Danio rerio: one gene and its partners. The protein of the gene in region 1 interacts with the protein of each later gene in a biochemical or structural test. Links are inferred from orthologs where the notes say so. Each region holds a gene or a part of one and is shown in the gene's direction. Other genes may lie near its edges. The genes, in order: pex5, agxtb, ddo and pex7.

Region 1 (3,571 bases):
GATGGAATATTATTTCACTTAGGTTGACATTTTATTTTTGTTAAAGTTATATGAAATTCTGAAGTAAACACTTAGGGAAAATAGAATCACCAACATATCTTTAACACAAAATATTGTATGAAGTGAATCCATTTGTAAATTAAGGAAATGATTACCATTTTGAAAACAGACATAATCAGGGTGTACATCTGAGATGTAGAATCAGCTACTCAAGGCGTACACACTCATATTTATTGAAAGGGGAACACCTGTGACTTGTGTAAGGATATATGGTAACACTTTATAATAACTACACACTATGAATCATCTATTAAGCATTAGCAAATAGTTAATTCTTTATATGTTAAGTATTAACTCTAAATAGACGTTAGTAAGCAGTTTATAAATTCAACTACAAATGCTGTATTCTTGACTTATAAGCGCATTTAAAATGTGCTCAATGATTGTGTTTTCATACTTAATTACATTTTAATTGTTCATTCATTCATTCATTCATTTATTCATTTTCTCTTCGGCTTAGTCCCTTTATTAATCCGGGGTCGCCACAGCGGAATGAACCGCCAACTTATCCAGCAGGTTTTTACGCAGCGGATACCCTTTCAGGGAAACATCCACACACAATCATTAACACACACTAATACACTATGGACAAATTAGCCTACCCAATTCACCTGTACCGCATGTCTTTGGACTGTGGGGGAAACCGGAGCACCCGGAGGAAACCCATGCGAACGCAGGGAGAACATGCAAACTCCACACAGAAACGCCAACTGACCCGAACCAGCGACCCAGTGACCTTCTTGCTGTGAGACACCAGCACTACATACTGTGCCACTGCGTCGCCCATTTTAATCGTTTATTACTAAATTTAGTATTGCATTATTTACAAATTGTGATGCAATTTGATATATGTATATATATATATATATATATATATATATATATATATATATATATATATATATATATATATATATATATATATATATTTGAAATAAATGCAAAACCGAGAAAACCGCAATTCACAAGCGCGTATTGAACCGTGGAGGTCGTACCGTAAGGTTCAATATTTTATTGAGAACTGTGGCATGCCTAATATATATATATATATATATATATATATATATATATATATATATATATATATATATATATATATATATATATATACAGTTGAAGTGAGAATTATTAGACCCCCTGAATATTTAGACCGCATGTTTATTTTTTTCCCATTTTCTGTTTGACAGAGGGCAGATTTTTGCAACACATTTTTAAGCATAATAGTTTTAATAACTCATCTCTAATAACTGATTTATTTTATCTTTGCCATGATGACAGTAAATAATATTTTACTGGATATTTTTTTGTATTTAAAAAATGATTCATAGTGTGTAGTTATTATAAAGTGTTACTGGAAATATTTTAAGGGCAATGTTTAAAAAGTTATTGTTGTATATTTAGTATAGGTCTTGTCATGAATATAGCCAATGTTGCTGATATGGCAATGAAACATAAATAAAGCATCTTTGACACAAATATATTAAAATGCAGGGAATTCATAAAAAGAGAGACTTAATTTTTGAGAATTTCTCAAAAATCTCAAATCCCATAACCAAAAGTTTGGACTTACATTTGTTTTGTTATTTTTACATATACATTTTATTCACATTCAACAACATTCTCTCAAATGCAAGGTCTGTAGACCTGCTGTTTAAATAAACCTTTATTAATAGTATTGCATTTTTTTGTATTGTTTATTAATAGTAGTAGTTGCGATTATTATTTATTAGAAAGTGAATTAAAGAATTAATCAACCAATGAGAAAATATTCCAAATATGCATTCAAAAATAGCCACTTGATTAATCTAATCCTTTTTCAGTAGATTAATTGTTTAAGTAATTGTTAATTGCAATCTTGAAAATATTATTGATTAGGATTTTTCCCTTTTTCCCCATAGATTCCTCCTACTCCCATTGAAATAGCCACTGAAGAAGAGGTTTGTATAATCTGTTTTAAATGACTTGATCAGCTTGTATAAGCTCATATAGTCTGTGATCATGTTCTTACAACCTGTCCTGTTGTTTTCTTTTTTGAATGCAGCTGGTCAGTGAGTTTCTGCAGGGTCCACAACGGCCTCCTCATAGTTTTGATATGGGTCAACTGCTGGAGGAGATGCAACAGATTGATCAGCAGAACTACAGACAGGCTCCACAGAGAGGTATCAGCACAAACACACATCCACATCAAGTTCAACACTTGTTGATGTCACTATAACTGTATGTTTTCACTTCTCAGCTCCCGATGTGGCAGCTCTGGCTCTGTCTGGCGACTGGGCATCAGAGTTTCTGTCTACTGCTGATGCCGCCTCTTCTTCTGGACAGGCAGCTCTTGATCCAGCCGATGCCGACTGGACCAGAGAATTTATCAATGAAGTGGCAGGTCAATATGAATTTAAAATGTCTTAAAATGTTCATAACACCTCTGATTTGAAAATCAGAAACGCAGTATGTTACTGTTCAATTTGTGGGAGCTTGGCTCGCTTTGGCTTGAAAATATTGAGGAGTTGAGGTCAGAATTATTAGGTCTCCTGTTAAATTTAAATTATTTTATGTTTTTGTTTTACAAATTTCTGTTAAACAGAGAGAAGATTTTTTTTTAATACATTTCTTAACATAATAGTTTTAATAGCTAATGTCTACTAACTGATTTACTTTGTCTTTGCCATGATGACAGTAAATAATATTTTCCTAGATATTTTTCAAGATCATAGTATTCAGATTAAAGTACTATTTAAAGGCTTAACTAGGTAATTAGGTTGGGCAAGTCATTGTAATTTGATGGTTTGCTCTTTAGACAATTTAAAAAATATTGCCTAAGTGGGTTAATAATATTGTAACGTAATAAATTATAACATAACTTAAAATTAAAACTGCTTTTATTTTAGCCGAAATAAAACAAATAAGTATAAATATTTTAGCAAATACTGTGAAAAATGCTTTGCTCTCACATAATTTGGGAAATATTTAAAAACAAAGACAAATTCACAGGTGGGCGAATAAAATTGACATCAACCTTATATAGTTATTGTTGAATAAACTGTCAATTCTAATAGATTTGATTTAGTCCATTTACACCACTACATATAAAGAAGTGGGTGTGGCTAACTCAAGTGCAGGATATGTGAACAAGATGCTGCTTTTGAAAACTGACCGGAGCGCTTGTAGTAAGATCAGGTCAACAATCTGAGGTGAACTTTTATCTGTGCTTTAGATGAACTGTTTTGCATTACTGACTTGAAACTGAGAGTGTGAGTACTGAATAACTGTACTTAATGCAACTGAACTGTGTGGTCAATATCCCTCAGTAAGATCACTGTAACTTGTGTTGTGCTACTGCCTCTGCCAACTAACATTCTCCCCTAGGTCGTAATGCCCACACGGATACTGATTCACCTGATTATCTAAGAAAATGAAAGCAAAATACTGAGTAGCTAGTTATGTCATAAAATGCTTGGTTTTCTTTGATATATCGGTCAGAAAATGTGAAGAAAAATTGATTTATTGACTGACA
Region 2 (4,201 bases), on another chromosome or scaffold:
AGCTACTGCTACTGTTTTTTTGGGGGGAAAACCTTCTACATGTAAACTGTGGCTTGGGGAAATTACATGTTACATTTGGAGTGAATTAGATACTATTTGGAAAAATAACTTTAACAGTTTGACAAAATTTGGAATCCTTTTATTCGTTACCTTAAAAAAACCTCTCATAATAATGCATCATTTCTGTAATGTTTTAATTTGCTTTGTCATCATACTCTGTTGTTCACATAGGTCTTTGTAACAAGTTTGCTTGTTATGTGGGTGTTTTTTAATTTATTTTCTTATTTCCTTTTGCTGAAGACAAAATATGTAAACAAAATTCTTTTCTTTCCGAATCTGTGTCTTAAATAAAACTTATTTGACGAAAAAGAAATTTACGTTAACAAGCAGTAACACCTAATAAAGTGGCTGGTGAGTGTAATCCTGCACTGTATGATAAAAAATTTACATTTAAATAATGTGCATTTAGCTACCAGACACACTTGCCTAGAATCTATTAAAATTAATCAACATAAATTATTCATACGTAACCGTGAACAAATGTCTATTTATCGTTTGATAGCTGATCTTAAAAATGACTAAATTGCTAACGGACATAAGAGAATTCAGATGGATATGCACATTAGCCATGTCTACTCCAATAGAGCTACTGCCATGTGCTGCACAGACCAATGAAATGTCAGCTGGATACATTACCGTGTGCATGTCAGTTTGTTCACGTCAACCAATCAACTGTGTTGAGAAGTGCACACTCCTCCACTGAGCTCGTAATCAAGTGAAGAATAAATCGATCAATACAGCACCTGCCTGTACACAAGGATGTAAACAAAATCACACTTTTTGTCTATTTGACATGTTTAGGGCTAAAAGGAAAAGATATGAGCGATTAAGCACGTATGTCCTTTCAAAAATATTATTAAATATGAATACACAATTTCCTTTCACGATAGCATTTTCTAGTGGAGTGCAACGCATTTTCTTCTTCCAGCACTGAGATGTTGAGCTCTGTGAAAAAGCTCAGATAAACACGTGTGCTCTGTTTGTTTTTGTCAGGAGGGCATGAGTTATAAGATTGACTTCTAGACTAGAGGACGAAAATAGGAAAACGTATAGCTGACATAAAACATGATGTACAGGAACTTAGATAGCACACAGTTGCTGTAGCTGTTGTTATGCTGTTAATAACATGTATGCACTTCTGGACCGCTATACCTAGTTTGGAAGATGAAGGGAGGAGAAGTTTTGCGCCAAAAGCGTGACGCATGTCGGTGTGTGAACCGGGGGTCAAAGACCTGTTTATTTAAAATGTTGGAGAAACGCAGAGTTTTATCCTTCAGTCGAACAGCAGAGCGAGAGGAATCATGATGCCGAGGACTGTCCTGTCCAGGTGCGCGCGCCTGACGCAGCAGGTGCCGCTGGAAAGCGCGCTCTCCGGCAAACAAAGTGTTCAGCGTGGGATGTCGTCTCTCAGCGTCCCTCCACCGGCCTGCATGCTCCGGCCGCTCGAGGCTCCGTTGCGGTACTTGTTTGGACCAGGACCATCCAATGTGCCGCCTCGTGTTTTGGCGGCAGGAGGGAGACCTATAATAGGTCACATGCACTCGGAAATGTTCGGGGTAAATCTCACACTTTAGTTTGACGCAACGACGCCTTTAATTGTTTTAGATGGACTGATGGAAAGGAAAATTAGTTAAACACAAAAGGCTTCAAAGTCAGCAGAAATGTAGCCTTATACACGTAACTGAAAAAAATCGTTTACTTGGTTTATTTTTAATAAATGTTATTAATAACAAAAAAAATGCAAGGTTGTTTTTTAAATAGGCCTTTTAAATAGGCTACTCTAAATACCAATAGATATGTAGATATAAATATCTCTGAATACGATACTCTTATACATTATACTTGTTATAAAACAACAACAAATAATGTTCAAAATTCATATTCAAATATGCACATTCATATTGAGTCTTTTTAATTTAATACTTTTTGTTTAATTTTTCAAGAAATATATTTTAGGCTGAAAATATAGTTAAATACATATGTTTTTGATTAAAACCTCAAATAAGAAATATTTGTTGACCATTGTAAAATGTTAAGGTTACTCACAAAGGCCAGTGCATGTGTATTAAACAGAAACTCAATATGCTTTGTGCTTTCATGGACTTAAAAACATATCAAGGCAAATTATTTATATTTTAGAGTTGAAACCATTAACCTACATGAAAAAAAATGGATAAATGAAAATGTTATGGGAACTGAAGTTTTGAACAAAGCTTTATCTTTTTGTTTTTAAACACAAAGAGAATTTTAATTAATTGACTTTCTACAACAAGACAAATATGCTTTGTGCCAGGATATATAAAATTGTTCTCATGGAAATTGAACATGTTGTTTGAAGCAATTTATTTATTTTTCATTGGGTCAAGTGATACAATTGAGATGTGAACCATTACTCTATTTAAAAAAAAAAAAAAAAAAAAAAACAGTATATTTAGAAATAGTTTCAATATTTACTAAAAAAAATCTAAAGGTGTATTTGCTAACTTTAATGCACTGTGAATTAATAATTTTATTTAAAGTTCATGTTAATTCATGCATTTTCTATTGTTAATAAATTAGCAATATTGTAAAAATTATCAAATAAAAATGTTTTTGAGATATTTTCAAATTTAAGAATGTAAGTCTGTAAAAGAGATCCACTCTTTCAGCTTCACAACCTTAAAATGTTTTACTTTTGATTGAATCAGTAAAGATCAAAATCAAGTGATTAAAATGTATTGTGGACATTATGTTTGAAAGCCAATGCTGAAATTTTGTTGCAGATTATGAATGAGATCAAGCAGGGAATTCAGTATGCTTTTCAGACCAATAACAGCATGACTCTGGCCATGAGTGGCTCTGGCCACACAGCAATGGAGTGTGCAGTGTTCAACATCGTGGAGCCCGGAGAAAGCGTTTTGGTTGCAGTTAATGGAATCTGGGGGGAACGAGTCGCAGAAATTGCAGAGCGCATGGGTATGAACAATAATAACTTCAGTCCACTGTTCTGTAAAAATTCATCATAATCTGTTGATAAGACCACACTTGCCTTTCTTACAACAGGTGCAAAGGTTCACACATTGGCAAAAGCACCAGGAGGACATTTCACAAATGCAGAAATTGAACAGGTAAAACTGTGCTTCATTTAAATGTGATGTTAAGACAAATTTCCTTTGCATATTTTGTCTTTTACAAACCCTAAAAGTTACTGTATATGACTGGATCAACAAACCTAACATTCATCTTTCTACAGGCTCTGGCCAAACATAAGCCAGTTCTCTTCTTTCTCACACATGGAGAGTCATCAGCTGGTTTGGTGCACCCAATGGACGGAATTGGAGATGTGTGTCGCAAGTAAGAATATCATACAATCATTTAGCTTACTGGGTGACTTCTAATGGAAAATCAATTAAATGCTTCCCTTTTGGGGTCTTGTATGAAAAAATCATGAATAAGTGTTTTTTTGCATGCGCAAATCTCAGATTGATGTACAGAATTAAATCAATATTTGAAGTTGAGTTGCTATACGTATTAACCCCGTTATTAGCAACACCGGTTGCCATTTGGTAAACTGCACCAAGGAACTTATGGCCCAATTCCACTGAGTGGTTCGATACGCTTTTACAGTATGGCCGTTTCCATGGTCAAAAGGTACCCAAAAGTGAACCGTACCGTACCACTTTTTGGGTACCATTTGCAAAGGGTATCTAGCACGGCAAAAGGGTACCAAAAGGCAGAGCTAGCCGCGCAGCTGAACACTATTGATTTACAGAGAAACGTCACTAGCAGTAAAATGAAAACAAAAAGAAAAAAAATTGCCATTTTTAAATATACAGCCGAGACATTACACTGTAATACTATACATGTATAATAACGAGCCATGGTCGACCCAAGCTCAAACAAACCTTGTAGTCGTCTTGATGGACAGCCACAAAGCCAAGAAGAACAAAATCTTCCCTGTCCTGTTTTTGTTTTTAAAAGTGCGTCTAAAAGTGCGAGCGGTTTTACTTTCTTCAGAGAGCTCGTATGCGTGTCTATATTTGAAATAAACTTTGAGCTGATGATAGTAACGTGTGCATGATTATTGAAGTGCTTTTGACATCCCATCCTTTCATAAACCGACAACGTGAAAGTTAAGGACGAAAAAAACAAAGAAGCTTGA
Region 3 (4,015 bases), on another chromosome or scaffold:
AAATAAAAAAAAAAAATATATATATATATATATATATATATATATATATATATATATATATATAGGGTGGCACAGTGGGTAGCGCCACAATCGGTAGTTGTCGCCTCGGCTGGGTCAGTTGGCATTTTTGTGTGGAGTTTGCATGTTCTTCCCATATTGGTGTGGGTTTCTTCTGGGTGCTCCGGTTTCCCCCACAGTCCAAAAACATGCACAAGGGGTGAATTGGGTAAGCTAAATTGTCGGTAGTGCATGTGTGTGAATGAGAGTTTATGGGTGTTTCCCACTGATGGGTTGCAGCTGGAAGGGCATCCGTTACATAAAACATATGCTGGATAAGTTGGCAGTTCATTCCACCGTGGTGACCCCTGATGAATAAAGGGACTCTATATATAGAAATTACTGCATTTTTATATTAAGTAACTTAGAGTTGTAAACACAGAACAGATAAAATATTCATTATAAAAATAACATATTTTTATTCAATAAAAAAAGAATAAAAAATTCTGGCAATTATTTGAAATCAAACATTGAAAACTATTAACTACCTCTTAACAATTTGTATTATTCCCATCAAAGACAAACAGTTGTGGGAAAAGTAAATAAGAATTATACTTAGGTAAAAGTATCATTACTTGTCTAAAAATGTAGTGCAAGTAGAGCAAAAGCACTTGTTGTAAATATTACTCAAAATTTGAGTAAAAATTAGAAATTTTTAAAAGTATTATTATTACGTATGTGATTTGTATATTTCTAATAACAAAATTAAAGCGTTTATATAATAAAATACACATTTTTTGATCCTCCAAGCGCCCCCTGTAGGAGCAGCTCAAACAGCGCCATAATCGTGCTGGCTAAGTACAGCAATGCACCACAATAGAGCGCTCATTTAAATGACACAGAATTGAATAACTATAAATAGACAATGTTGTCCTGGTAGCAGTATGTTTGATGTCCGCTAAATTAACAATTATTTAAAATACGTCCATACGTGGTGTAATAGATTGTAAAATGCTGTAACCCTTCAAAATAACAGAAAACCCCTGCGAAAACTCCATTTCCCATGATGCCTTTTAAACAGGACAGACATAACAGTCCTCGCGCTGCAGTGTGACTGATAATATTTCACCCACAGAGAGAAGAGCTTTGTGTTTGATCCTGCAGGTCTCGACTCGACAGACTCAAGGTAAGAGTGTGACATATACTTTGCACCTGCTTTTACATTCTCATTCAAAGTATTTGAAATAGGCTGCAATAATATATCCCCAAGTTAATAAGTTACTGTATTTGTGTTGTATCTTGTTATTGCGACAAGTACTTTTACTACAGTAACACGAAATACACTAAATATTTGTACAACGTTTTAAATATGGATATGAATTAATATGTATTGAAGGAATACATTTTATTTTTGATTATTTATAGGTTTATTCACTTCGTTCTTCGCACTTTATTAGATTCAGGCAAACTTTCCAATTGTTTTATTATTATAAATGTTAATAAATTTATTATTACTATTATTACTTTTTAAGAAATTATGATTTTTTTTTATTATTGTGATAACCCAGAAACACATAATAAGTAACCCATAATTAACGGTCAGATAAGGACACTTCAGTCTGTTGTTTATTGACTTTATTGGCACATTTTTATGGTCTGCTTGTGAATGTCTGTATTGTGTGAAAGGGAAATTATTTTGTTTGTCATCTAATTTTTGTAGGTCAGTTTTTTTAAATACTTTTATTCTATGACAAAGATACATTTGATACACACCATTTACAAAAATAATTATTAGATTATTTACAAGGGCATCATGGTGGCACAGTGGGTGGCATGATTGCCTCACAGCAAGAAGGTCACTGATTCGAGCCTCGTCCGGGTCAGTTGGCATTTCTGTGTGGAGTTTGCATGTTCTCCCCGTGTTGGCGTGGGTTTCCTCCGGGTGCTCCGTTTTTCCCCACAGCCCAAACGAATGCACTATAGGTGAATTGGGTGAGCTAAAATGTCCGTAGTGTATGTGTATGAACGGGTAAGTATGGATGTTTCCCAGTGATGGGTTGTGGCATAAAAGGGCATCCGCTGTGTAAAACATATTCTTGATAAGTTGGCGGTTCATTCTGCTGTGGCGACGCAATTCGGTGGATGGGGATGATTGAGAGGCCATGATCAATAAGGGCCAATGAAGGGAATTTGGCCAGGACACCTGGGTTACACCCCTATTCTTACGAGAAGTGCCATGGGATTTTTAATGACCGCAGAGAAAGACGGCGCTTACTGACAGTGTAGTGTCCCCTTCACTTTACTGGGGTTGTTGCTAGAGCGGATACGTTTGCGGCCGGAAGTTAACGTGAATTATTTCTATTATTTATTACATTTTTCATTTGTTGTATTTTATTAACGTCTACCCCCACCCCAACCCTAAACCCAACCGTCACAGTATTGTAAAAACTTTAGTTTACCGAGTATTAGTTGTGTTATCTATTAAATTACCCAATAAAATGTATTTTTTAACGCCTACCCCAACCCCAACCCTAAACCCCACCCTCACAGTACTGTAAAAATATTAATTATTGTTATACAGTGTCATAAAAAAATGCTGCTTTATTAATGTGCATATCGCACTTCCGGCCGGCCGCATATTCGATCTAGACTTTACCCTTTACTGGGGCATTAGGACTCACACAGACGGGAGGTTGAGCGCCCCCTGCTGACCTCACTAACAGCAATTCCAGCAGTAACCTAGCTTTCCCATGTGGTCTCCCATCCAGGCACTGACCAGGCTCAGCCCTGCTTAGCTTCAGCGAGCAACCGTTCCGAAATTGAACCTATAGTATTGCAAATGCTCGATTCATATTTTGTTAATATTTTATGAATATTCGATCAGCCTACTTTCAAAATACTTCTACAATTATAGTTTATAAATAACATTCAAACGTTTTCAATGTTTATCGAATGAGTTTTGATTAAATTAAACATTAGCATATTGACTCATTGGTAAAGCCTGTTTAAAAAAAAAAAAAAAAAAACTACTTGAAGTGTGTACGCTTACACTATTTCCAACTAAAAACTAAAAGCCTTTTGTGTGTTTTGGTCTTTCATTTTTTACATAGTGGGAAAAATGGATTGCGCAACATGCTAAAGGCATTATACAACTGGAGAGGAAACGTTTACACAACGTTTTTAGAATTCAACCTTTTTTTTTTCAAGCACCCAAAACAAAATGTTGAATAATAACAGAACGTTGTGTAAATGTTCTCTTAGTTGTATAATGCCTTTTGCACGTTGCATAATCCATTTTTCCTCTAGGTAAAACGGGCTGATTAAATGCTTACCAATACACAATGAAATCTTTACAGTAATGCTGGGCTGCAGAATGTAAAATGGATGTCTGGATTTTAACCCACGCTGCATTAACTAATGTTAGCAAGCATGAATTTGGATGTTAAAAATGCATTAGTATTTAATGGAATATGACTAATAAATGCTGTGAGTATTATTCATAATTAGTTCATGTTAGTAACACAGAAGATATATCGCATTATAATGAACTACCTCAAGACATGCAATTTAAAATTGCAGCAAACTGTTTGGAAGCATTAAAAATGTCCAAGAAGATGTCCAAAATATTTACACGCATTGACCCAGAGACTGTTTAAATGCATGACACTGATGAGAGTGTTCTAACAAATCACTTTCTAACAACCTAAAATCAACCAAATATCAGCGTCATTTGACGTCATTATTGGCCATCAAAATATTGTTCTTAGACGCTGGCTAGACATTGAATTTTGGTCACCTGACATCACAACCTAAATCTAACCTAATATTAACGTCTTATGACATTGTGTGCCTGCTGGGCAATGACTAAATGCACTACAGAATGCTGTAGAATACAGCTGCTTTATTTCACTCTATGATAACTTCTTTTATGTTTAATCCACTTAAATTTGCAAAAACACTTATCTAAATCGATTTGCGTTGGGACAACATGAAGGAATTGTGTGGAACCCAGCATGTT
Region 4 (3,571 bases), on another chromosome or scaffold:
TTCCTTTCATTCTTCAGTATATCTTCCTTTGTGTTCAACAGAAAAAATTCAGACATGTTTGGAAAGACTTTAAAGGATCAGGAACTATCCAGACCACAGCATGTATTGGCTAAGAGTATAAAGTCAGAGAATGGTGTTAAATACTGGCCTTTCTCAAGCATGTGTTTTATCACCAATTTAGTTTTTTATTTATATAAACGATATATCTTGTGACAATGAAAAACTGACACTTAGCAAGTTTGCTGATGATATGGCTTTGGTGGGATGTGTAAAGTATACTCAGTTATTGGATGATTATTTACATTTTGTCAATTATGTAACAAGTTGGACAACAGAGAGTTCCTTGCAGCTTAATATTAGTAAGATGAAAGAAATGTGTTACAAACAAAATTAACGGGGAGGAAGCTAAACAGGTGAGTTCTTTTAAATATTTAGGTGTGGGGATTGACTTTCAATTCTCTTTTGATAAACTCGCCGAGAATGTTTTTGAAAAGGCTCAGCAATTGTTGAGTCTGTTAAGAAAACTGAGAAGTTTTTATATTGAGAAGGACATTTTGATTGTCATATATAAATCACTTATTGAATCTGTCCTTATTTTTAATATTGTATCTGGTATTGAAATTTTTGTATTTTATAACACAGTTTAATATATTTTTTCTTATAGCAAATGTGATTGTAGTGTTATTTAAATAATTGAATTATGGCTAAAATTTTGTGCTTTAATTCTATAGCTACTTTTAGCTTCTGAACTGCATTTTCAGCTGTGTAGTGTGGAGGGAGAACTTTTCTGGAAACAGCAGTATGGACATGTAGTATAGAGTTAATAATAATAAATATTTAAATGGAAATATATTAGTGAAAAGGTAAAGTTTTAGCACTTTAGAACCTCTGGACTGATGCAAATCCCCTCTTTTTATAGGTGTATTCAGTAGACTGGAGTCAAACACGTGCTGAAAACCTGCTAGTATCAGGATCTTGGGACCACACAGCCAAAGTGGTAAGCAGACTTTAGTTTAGAGGATGAATATACGCAGACAATTTTGCCATATTATAAATGTTAATTGCGAATAATTGCATTTAACTAACCATATAATCATGCATTGTTTAAATGCTAAATTAAATGTAATTGTGAAGATTTAAAAGGAAAACAGTCTTTATATACTAGAAAAATATGCAATATTGTTGTTGAATATTCCCATAATAATGTTTCTTATGATATAATATTTCCCCTAAAAAAGTACTGTTTTTGTTGCCAATGTTTTTAAATGCTTTATTTATTTAATGATATTAAAATAAATAGGTAAAACATATTTTTACATATAATTAATTCTAAATTGCTAATAAAAAAACTGTAGAAAGGTGCAAACATTTAGTCTTTTAAACAATATGAATGAGTAAAAAAATCAGCTGGTCTGTTGACTCTGATTGGCTGTTGTCATTTCTCTCTTGTCTTAACTCTCACAATAAGAATTTATTTTCAGCTCTGGTTTTACTTTTAGTCTGCTCCAGCCAATAGCAGAACAGCAACTAATGTGGAGATGGAGATAAAGATAGTTAGGCTCCCATCTAATTGGTCAAACTTTAATAAACAACCAATGCATAAATTAAATGTAATCCGTCACCAGCTGCGATATGTATATTCTATTGATATGAGATATGTATATTCAAATGTGCACTTTTATTTGATAATTGACCTAATCCTAACTGAAAAATGAAGAGAGGGTGGGACATAGAGTAGCCCCTCCTCTTATTAAAAAGTATCCAATAGTGTGTTGTTTTTATCACAGCTCTGCCAGTGGTGATTGAGTTCAAGCGCATCGAATGAAAAGCAAATGAGAAGCATCTTAAAGGGGACTAGTTGTGTCAAACAATATAGAGCATTTGATTGGTCAAGATAGATGAGAAACTGAAGTATGAGGTGACGTGGAAAAAAACGTTGATCCATTTAGACAGAAGTGACAAACTACAAGCTTTACATTTAACTCGGTCTTATATCTCCTAAGCGCAAATTTTGTCACTGTTTCGGAGCACACCAATATACTCTATAGATATCCTTTAAACTAGAAGACTGAAATGAACATCTAAGAAATGTATTACTGTACTGGAATGTATTTTATATCTGTGCTGTTTTTCTACAAAGTGGGATCCAGTGCAGTGTCAGTTAGTGAACTCCCTTCAGGGTCATGAGGGTGTCATCTACAGCACCATCTGGTCTCCTCATATCCCAGCATGCTTTGCTTCGGCCTCAGGTAGGAGAATGGCTTTTATTTATTTTTTCTGGAAATTTTGTGGTGCAGACCACATATATTATGTAGTCTGATAGATTGAGATGGCAATGTCAAAAAAGTGCCAATGACAGTGGATAGTTTTGCTTAGTATGTACTTAAAATACATAAATAAAAAATAACTCAAATATGCAAAAACAGATAATTTTCATTTTGTCGAGGGCTAAAATGATTCGTTGAGTAATTATCAGTAAATCAACTTTATTATTTAGACTCAAGGCCCAATAAATTAATAAAAACACACAAACAAGCAAACAAACAGCAAAGGTAACAGAAGACAAAACAATTATACAATTAACAGAGTTCATTCATTCATTTTCTTTTCGGCTTAGTCCATTTATTAATCAGGGGTCACCACAGCGGAATGAACCACCAACTTATCCAGCATATGTTTTACACAGCGGATGCCCTTCCAGCTGCAACCCAACACTGACACACACCCATGCACTCATTCACACACATACACTACGGAAAATTTAGCCTACCCAATTTATCTATACCACGTCTTTGGACTGTGGGGGAAACTGGAGCACCCGGAGGTAACCCACGTGAACACGCGGAGAACATGCAAACTCTACACAGAAATGCGAACTGACCCAGCCAAGGCTCGAACCAGTGACCTTCTTGCTTTGAGGCGAACGTGCCACCCACTGCGCTACCGCACCGCTCAATTAACAGAGTTAAAGAAGAAAATTCACAGTCAAGAAAACTTCCCACATTTCCCATTATTTAAGGGTATAGTGTTTGATTTTAGATACAGCCACATACTCCACATTTCCCCCCTGTGCTTATATTAACATGTTACTATTACTATAGGCTCCTCAGCACCAGGACAAAAATATATTATAGCCAAAAATATGTAAATGTATAAAAGTATATACCTGTGCAACATAAGAATAGAAAGCAAAATTGAAAAAAGGAACCAAATCTGCCTGTCTTTTTTTCTCTTGTGTGTCTAGTATTGCTCTTTAATAAAGATACCGTTAATCTGATTACTTGATTGAATTAATAGAAAACTCAAATACTCAAATAATTAATAACAACAGCCCTAATTTTGTTGATAGCTGGTGCAATATGGGTGAAGTCCTTGGCAACATTGAAATCCTTGACACTAGTAAATCTTATTGTATCAGTCAGTTACAGTTTTTCTTAGTCGCTTTGGTACATTTCTCAGATCAGAATTAAAATTCTCAAAACTACCTGTTCAATCTTCACATTATGGTGTTAGTTGTGCACATCAGAATAGCAGTTTATCATTCTTTTGAACAAGTTGCAAATGCTTTTGT

Evidence for each region.
Region 2: the proteins of pex5 (region 1) and agxtb are reported together in a solved structure, tested with the Homo sapiens proteins (2 studies listed by BioGRID and IntAct, with this or other methods). The link is inferred for Danio rerio from reciprocal best matches to the Homo sapiens genes PEX5 and AGXT.
Region 3: the proteins of pex5 (region 1) and ddo form a complex in vitro, tested with the Homo sapiens proteins (2 studies listed by BioGRID, with this or other methods). The link is inferred for Danio rerio from reciprocal best matches to the Homo sapiens genes PEX5 and DDO.
Region 4: the proteins of pex5 (region 1) and pex7 form a complex in vitro, tested with the Homo sapiens proteins (3 studies listed by BioGRID). The link is inferred for Danio rerio from reciprocal best matches to the Homo sapiens genes PEX5 and PEX7.

What each region holds. Positions count from the first base shown.
Region 1 is NC_133191.1:12,440,919-12,444,489, reverse strand, and holds part of pex5 (peroxisomal biogenesis factor 5), read left to right. Parts: intron 1-1,958; coding exon 1,959-1,997; intron 1,998-2,101; coding exon 2,102-2,219; intron 2,220-2,296; coding exon 2,297-2,440; intron 2,441-3,571.
Region 2 is NC_133177.1:26,013,887-26,018,087, reverse strand, and holds the start of agxtb (alanine--glyoxylate and serine--pyruvate aminotransferase b), read left to right. Parts: upstream 1-1,353; 5' UTR 1,354-1,361; coding exon 1,362-1,616; intron 1,617-2,822; coding exon 2,823-3,015; intron 3,016-3,102; coding exon 3,103-3,167; intron 3,168-3,292; coding exon 3,293-3,393; intron 3,394-4,201. UniProt on the Homo sapiens protein: Peroxisomal aminotransferase that catalyzes the transamination of glyoxylate to glycine and contributes to the glyoxylate detoxification.
Region 3 is NC_133192.1:8,094,409-8,098,423, forward strand, and holds the start of ddo (D-aspartate oxidase), read left to right. Parts: upstream 1-1,155; 5' UTR 1,156-1,183; intron 1,184-4,015. UniProt on the Homo sapiens protein: Selectively catalyzes the oxidative deamination of acidic amino acids. Suppresses the level of D-aspartate in the brain, an amino acid that can act as an agonist for glutamate receptors. Protects the organism from the toxicity of D-amino acids.
Region 4 is NC_133195.1:42,858,461-42,862,031, reverse strand, and holds part of pex7 (peroxisomal biogenesis factor 7), read left to right. Parts: intron 1-919; coding exon 920-997; intron 998-2,140; coding exon 2,141-2,249; intron 2,250-3,571. UniProt on the Homo sapiens protein: Receptor required for the peroxisomal import of proteins containing a C-terminal PTS2-type peroxisomal targeting signal. Specifically binds to cargo proteins containing a PTS2 peroxisomal targeting signal in the cytosol.